Linked DNA regions of Drosophila melanogaster. The protein of the gene in region 2 interacts with the protein of the main gene of each other region in a pairwise test. Each region holds a gene or a part of one and is shown on either strand. Other genes may lie near its edges.

What was found. The genes of interacting proteins can lie anywhere in the genome.
Region 1: the proteins of Polr2B (region 2) and Sec24AB interact in a two-hybrid assay, tested with the Drosophila melanogaster proteins (one large-scale study listed by BioGRID).

Annotation. Positions count from the first base shown.
Region 1 is NT_033778.4:9,880,681-9,884,435, forward strand, and holds the start of Sec24AB (secretory 24AB), read right to left. Parts: upstream 1,678-3,755; 5' UTR 1,503-1,677; exon of another isoform or gene 716-1,502; intron 537-715; 5' UTR 513-536; coding exon 1-512. Other genes in the region: CG1513 (uncharacterized protein), read right to left, coding at 3,077-3,163, 3,217-3,322, 3,405-3,526.
Region 2 is NT_033777.3:14,124,017-14,127,771, reverse strand, and holds the start of Polr2B (RNA polymerase II subunit B), read right to left. Parts: upstream 1,982-3,755; 5' UTR 1,826-1,981; coding exon 1,804-1,825; intron 1,677-1,803; coding exon 1-1,676. Other genes in the region: 140up (upstream of RpII140), read left to right, coding at 2,296-2,468, 2,532-2,697, 2,759-2,847, 2,910-3,267; twf (twinfilin), read right to left, coding at 3,585-3,737. UniProt on the Drosophila melanogaster protein: DNA-dependent RNA polymerase catalyzes the transcription of DNA into RNA using the four ribonucleoside triphosphates as substrates. Second largest component of RNA polymerase II which synthesizes mRNA precursors and many functional non-coding RNAs.

The DNA.
Region 1 (3,755 bases), on a different chromosome or scaffold from region 2:
TGGTGCGTCGGTTGGGGCGAAGGACGCAGTCCCGACGCCAGGGGCGGATTGTTCAACGCTGCAGCGATTGGTCCTTGAGCATATTGAGGGGCAGCTCCTACTGGCCTTGGGGATGCAGTGCGCGAAGAGTTCGCACTGGACGCCCCATTGCTGCCGTTCGTAAGGGGTGGTCCGTTGGCGGCGGGCGGACGCAGATGGGGCGGCAGCGTGCTGGGCGGCAGTTGCTGCAGAGGTGTAGCTGCTCCTGACGTGGGCGGCAAGAACTGGTTCGTAATACCACTGTTGAACTGCTGCGGCGGTGGCACATTACCTGGCGCTCCTGCTCCCGGAAAAGCTGCTGCAGGAGGTGGTTGCTGGAACTGTTGTGGCTGCTTCTGTGGTATATACTGCTGACCAGGTGGAGGACCTGGCTGCTGCTGGACGCTTCCTTGCACACCATTCACAAAATTGTTTCCGTTCAGTGGCATAGGGGCGTGGGCGGGAGGCACGAAGTTCGGATTGTAAGTCGACATGCTGCTAATTCATAGGTTTGTGGTCTGAAAGATGAAGAATTACATTTTGTTTAGTTGCTATCTTATCACTAGCGAAGGTTGCGTTGCTGCCGACATGAAACAGGGAATTATCTTATCGTTCAATGTTAAAAAGCGCGTAACATGAAACAATGTGCGGCTGATAAAAGTTGTAAAGTTTTAAAGCGGGATGCTTTTCCCCGCTTACAGACAGTTTAGAATTTGCAGTGATCGAATGGAATGCGAAATTCTGCGTTATTGGAGCTTTATCACAAACTTTTAAGCTAGACTGGCTGCCTAGGTAAATGTCTTGATTCAGTGTTTACAGAACTGTGTCTACGTCAACAGTAAGTCGGAAATAGGGTGATAATTTCATATCATATTTTGCTGTTTAAACAGCTTCGACAGCAGGTCGTTATGGGTTATTATGTGATGTACAACGTGTAAGTGTGCGTGCCTCAAGCACTTGACCTCGCCATCAATGATCGCAGAAGGTGGGTCGGTTAAATTGGTGACCCAGATGCAGTGGAAGCAATCAGGAAGAGAAAGGATTTGTCTCCGGAACAAAGCAAATTTTTGATGACGTGCCTATTGGCGAAGTCAACCCGCCACGCCCACCACCCACTCAAAGAAATTGGGGCAATCAAGGCATATGTAGTGCCCATAACACGGTTACCAATCACTTATCACCTTCCCGAGCTTCAGTTTTCATTGGCATGAAGTTCCTCGGCCAGCACTTGCACTTTGTAGTTGCCTCTTCTTCTTGCGCCCTTGATTGGCGATTTTGCTGCGGACTATGAATTAGCTTTTCCGCCTTTCGTTGTGAGGAAAGGGCGGATGCAGCTGTAAAAACCACTGGTTGTACTCTTTGTTCTGGTCTTTTGTGAAATCCTTGGCTGGATTTTTCTCCGCGAACGAAAATTAAACGATTTTCGCACTTCCCTACGCTCTCTCCACTCCCAAAACTTCCTTCCGCACTAGTTTCTTTCTTACACGATTTCAAGCGCTCCTCGCGTGCTCCGGATGGATGCGAACACGTCCTATATTGGCAGGCGGATTCTTTGGACTTGGCGTCGTACGCTGCTATGCACAATTAACTTAAATGCAAACTTTTTGCATTTTCCGGAGAACAAAAAATTTTGAGGCCACGTCAATAGTGTGACCGTTGGTTTTAAAAAAGAGATGACAGTGCTCTGGGTCGCCTATCGATTGCAAATAAAATGTTATCGATACCAATGGTAACATTATTTTTGTAACAATTCAAATTTAAAACTTAACGCAATGTTTATTAAGTGAAGACAAGCAATGTATATTATATATAACTCTGTTAATGATATGAGCTTAAATGTTCGTAAGCCCGAAATCCAAAATCCATTAAAACTGCTTAAAGAACAAATCGCTTTATTTGCAATATTTGTATCTGCTTGGGAGTAGCTCAATTTCTCAATTAACACGTTGGTTAAAAAGAAAATCGCAAAAATATATACAAGTTTCCCCGGGCTTGGATATAAGTTCCAATTAATGCCATTGGGATTACAATTCTTTTATTCTACGGGGTAACTAGTTCGTTAAATATTACTTTAAATCAATTTCGAAGCGTATTTACTTTATTCGTTTCATTTTGCGTTAACTTTGCGTGAGAGTAGTCGGTAGATTTGCTGTGTGGGTGGTGTTGCTTCCTGGCTCGTAAGTTATAAAGTTATAAATTAAATTTAATGTCTATTATTCAACGTGTCTAGGAGTTCGGTTTTCAATTGGGTTCTATTGCAGTAAGGTGTAAAGGTGTGTCACCAGCGGACTCTTGGTAAAGCTTTATTGTTATTATTGTGACAAGTGGAATTCGAAACATAATACTAAAGGTAATCGTATTTGATTTATAAGCTATGCGACTGGAAAATCATTGTGCACCGTGTGTTCTATGTCCGTGTGTCTGTCCTGTGGTCTTGGAAAGAAGCGAGGGTGCAGTATCTGTCGGATACTAGCGTGTCGGTATTGTATTTCGTCTATAGCAGAGTCTTTTATTTCAAAAATAGAATCTCTATTATCCTTAAGTAACTATCATTTTGTAATCTACAACTTTTGATATATCCCATTATGTATTGGATTTCTTTCTTTGTTGCTAGTTAGTAAATGTTAGTAATGTAAAAGGTATTGAATAGGTGTCATTGTGTTGCAGTTTACTGCGATTGCCTTTGAAACACACTAGTACTTAGTAGTAAATAATAATCGTTAATTCTGTATAGAAACTGTGAGTGTTTGATTTTTCTGTCTCCGCTGAGCTGTCGAGCTTGACTCGCGTTCCAACCTAATGAGCAGAGCTTTACTCCTTTCTTTTTCTCTGTGTATATTATTTACAATTAATAACCAGACCCTGGAGCCTCCATCATGGATCTCCTTCTGCCAGTTCAGTTGTTGCTCTAACTTTTCCTGCATTCGTTACGTTGTATCGTCAGTGTTGAGAGGTTTGCGCACTTGTGGAATTAAACATATAGTTGAGGCTCGTTCTTGATATGATCCATATATATAGACGTTTTTGGTGTTGTTGCTCTCGTTGTCAGTCGGAGGCATTATCTCTTGGCCTCCTTCTCCTGCAGATACATGCGCTGACTCAGCGGCTTGGCGTAGATCCAGTTGTCGCCCACGGGCTTAAAGTGCTGTGAACGAATATTATCTGTTAACTGTTTTACCCTATATCGGGATGACGTACCTTGTGCTCCCAGGCCAGATCGTATTCCTTGCGCACCTTGGCTTGATCACGCTGCTGTTGCTCCACAACGAATTTGGCAGTTGTAGCGCGCTCGATGTCATTGAACCTGTGGAAGAGCAACGAACAAAGAGATTACATTTATCATGACTCGCAATTGGGGGTCAGGAATTAATTGGTATGCTGTTTACTTGAGTCCCGCTGTCACTTCCTTCCAAACGCGTCGCGATTCGTACTCATCCTGCTCAACGATTGGTCGAACTTGTTTCTTAAATATGGGTATGCGATTTACGTCGACGAATACTTCGGTTTTCTAGAAAATTCAAGAGATTCATTCAGATTCACTATGTGGTCAACTGATTGGGATTGGGTGTAATATTAAACACACAGCAATCATATATAAGTACAGATAGCAACAATTTGAATACAACGTTGGACAATCAGGCATAGGATTAATTTGTGGGTTCGATTTTCTAGACAAACAAAGTAAACACACAGAGGAAATGCTCCCGAGCTATTTAAGAGAAAAGCAGAAGAATCGT
Region 2 (3,755 bases):
TGTAGCATCAGCGATGGCAGAAGGAGCAATTTCCTCCAGGTTTTCCATAGACCACTCCTCCAAGAACTCCAGAATGGGAGAAGGTTGTGATCCCACAGAAATGTAAGCCATGAGCGCCAGGTTCTTCACCAGACCAACAGCTGCTCCCTCAGGAGTTTCAGCGGGACACAACATACCCCAAAGAGTATTGTGCAACTGACGAGGTTTGGCCAGTTTACCGTCTCTGCCAATTGGCGAATTCACACGCCGCAAATGGGAAAGAGTAGAGGCGAAGGTCAAGCGATTCAACACCTGGGAGACACCGGCTCTCGCCTGATGCGCCTTCTTCTGGTCGCCCCAATTGCCAGTGGCCAAGGAATACCTTAAACCATCAGTAATAATATTAGTCTTGATGGCCAGTTCAAGGTTGAAGTCCTTTCCGCGATCGATGAACTTCTGTGTGTACATGCGCACCTCTTTCATCAGGTTTTTGAACAGACCACGGAAGAGGAAGGCCAGGAGGGGTCCAGCGAGATCAAGTCGCTTGTTTCCATAGTGATCTCGATCATCGAGTTCTCTCCTGCCCAAAGAGGCTAAGAGCAGCCGGTGAACCATGTAGCCCAAAAAGTATGCCTTCTTGGTCTCGCAGAAATCGGATACTCCAACGTGGGGCAGCATTTCCTTTTGCAAAATTTCCTTAGCGTACTTTATACGCTTGTCTTTTGTGACTCCGGGACGTGCTCCTCTAGCTCCAATGAAATTCAAGGCAACATTCTGCTCTTGGACTACAAAAGCCTCGTCCAGAGAAGGTTTCACCATTTCCATCATCTCGGGATCGTCGAAGTCATAGATGATATGCTCCAGAATATCGCGATCGGCCACGAAGCCCAATGCTCGAAACACAATCATAATGGGTATCTCCTGTTTGATGTACGGTAAGATGGCAATAATCCTCTGACCAATGGCTGACTTTTTTATGTTTTGCGATCCTCTTGCCATCATGTTTACCCACAGTGTAGACGTGGGTCTGGAACTGTGCTCCAAACACGACCGAATCTCAGTCTTAAAGGCATACTTGCCATCTTTCATGCTGAACACGTACACTGTGTTGGTGGCCATTTTCTCTTGGGCAATTAGCACCTTCTCGGAGCCGTTGATGATGAAGTAGCCACCGGGATCCAACGGGCACTCGTTCAGCTCCGTAAGATCACGATCAGTAAGCTGTGATAGCAAACAGTACGTTGATCTCAACATGATGGGAATCTTGCCTATGAAAGTCTTTTGATGCTGCGTTTCCACGGGATCCAGGCCCTCGACATTCTTGGTTTTCGTAATGTCCACGTAGAGAGGAGCGGAGTAAGTTAGATTTCGCAGGCGGGCCTCGTTCGGCATCATAGGACTGGGCGAACCATCCTTTTCCCAATGTGTTGGCTTGGAAAGATAGATTTGCTCGAATTTCAGCGAGAATCTGGGCGGGGTTTCCACCTCTCCGGATGTGTGCTGCGCTTCCGCCTGCAACTCAATGGCGGGGGAATCCTCCACAATGCGCTGCACCGACATCTGAATGAACTCATCGAAACTGTCCAGCTGCTGCCGCACCAAGCCCTTCTCGTCGAAGTACGCGTTAATCACGATCCAGCAGGCTTCCTGCCACAGCTCGTGAGAGATCTCCTCGGCATTCTCCTCCTCGTACAGTTCTGCAAGATGTTATTTGACCATTGAAATTCATTGCTAACAATGCGGAGCCCTAGCGCTCCAGCCGCCATATTAATTTTGGTACACGCCAACGTGCATGCACAAATTTTCGCAATTCATTTTACTCACCTTCCTCGTTGTCGTACATCATGATTTCAGTTTTCTAAAGTGCAGAAGCACTTTATGCGTTCAAGTAAATAACAATAAATTGGATTTGCAATGAATTAAATTGTAAAAACGTAGAAAATTTCACAACAAATGTTTGCCGACAACGCGATTAGCGGCGTTGTGCTGTGTTGGTAAACGGCAAAAGCAAAGCACAAGGTGCAGTTCATAAAGTTATAGCAAATACTTGTAAACACAATAAAATTGTTTTTGGCAACAAAATAAATTTAAAAGTGTGAATGATATAAGAAAAAAATATATGAACAACTAAATGAGTATGTAACTTAAATTATTATAATAATATAATTTTATTAATAACAAACGCATTTAAATTAAAAACAATTAAACCGAGAGTTTGCCAACACCAATGACACGCACACTTTCCAACACTAACAGACCGGCAAACAGCTGAGATTGTTGTACTCGTTTTACTTGGTTATTTAACACGCTTAAAAAATGAATTTTCTGTGGAAAGGACGCCGGTTTCTGATCGCAGGCATCCTGCCAACATTCGAAGGCGCCGCAGATGAAATAGTCGATAAGGAAAACAAAACATACAAGGCCTTTCTGGCCAGTAAACCACCAGAGGAAACAGGACTGGAGCGCCTCAAGCAAATGTTTACAATCGAGTAGGAAAACTAAGAATTCCATTTATACTAAAATCTACTGACCGTACATAAACATTTAAATAGCGAGTTTGGCAGCATATCCTCCGAGCTTAACTCGGTTTACCAGGCCGGCTTCCTAGGATTCCTTATTGGAGCTATTTACGGCGGAGTTACACAATCGCGCGTGGCCTACATGAATTTCATGGAGAACAACCAGGCCACAGCATTTAAATCGCACTTTGATGCCAAGGTAGGTATCTACGTATTATCATTTAAATATGTTATAATCAAGTTTTTAATCATAATTACAGAAAAAGCTGCAAGATCAATTCACAGTCAACTTTGCCAAAGGCGGCTTCAAATGGGGCTGGCGAGTGGGACTTTTTACCACATCCTACTTGTAAGTTCAGCAACACGAATTCAAATCTGTATCTGTGTGATACAAAAATGTGTTCCTTACAGCGGCATCATCACTTGTATGTCGGTGTACCGTGGAAAATCCTCAATCTACGAATACTTGGCCGCTGGTTCCATCACCGGCTCGCTTTACAAAGTGAGTCTTGGTCTGCGGGGCATGGCGGCAGGTGGAATCATTGGAGGTTTCTTGGGCGGCGTGGCTGGTGTGACGTCGCTGCTGCTGATGAAAGCATCAGGGACCTCGATGGAAGAGGTTCGCTACTGGCAGTACAAATGGCGACTCGATCGCGACGAAAACATTCAACAGGCGTTCAAAAAACTGACAGAGGACGAAAACCCAGAGCTTTTCAAGGCCCACGACGAGAAAACATCCGAACATGTATCGCTGGACACGATCAAGTGAGTCCTGAGGACTTAAAGAAGACGCCAGTGTGAACTTAGTTACTTTTTTTAATTTAAATAAATTGCATATATGTCCATCTAAAGTTACATAGACAAGAATACATTTAAGGAAGCCCACTTTGGCGGCTGCTATGCGATGTTTCAGTTGATGCCTAGTGCCTCTAAAGATATCGACTGACGTACGGACACATATAGACACGGGATAGACACAACACAAAAGAAATAAACGATTGGATACAATAAATTAAATGCTCTGCTAGGAAACAGTACGTAGAAGGGCGATAAACAGAATTGACTCGGTGGGATCGGGATTCAGACTTAGTCCTCTGCGGTGGGACGCGTGAGGCGCTTGGCGCCTCGGTTTGGTGGCCCCTTGGGCTTGGCAAAAGCCGGTCGGTGTAGAATCTTCTTTGGGTGCAGCTCGTCCTGCAAGAAGGCTTCGGTCAGCTCGCTGCCGCTGTCGATTTCAAGCTGAAATGTAAAACGTTG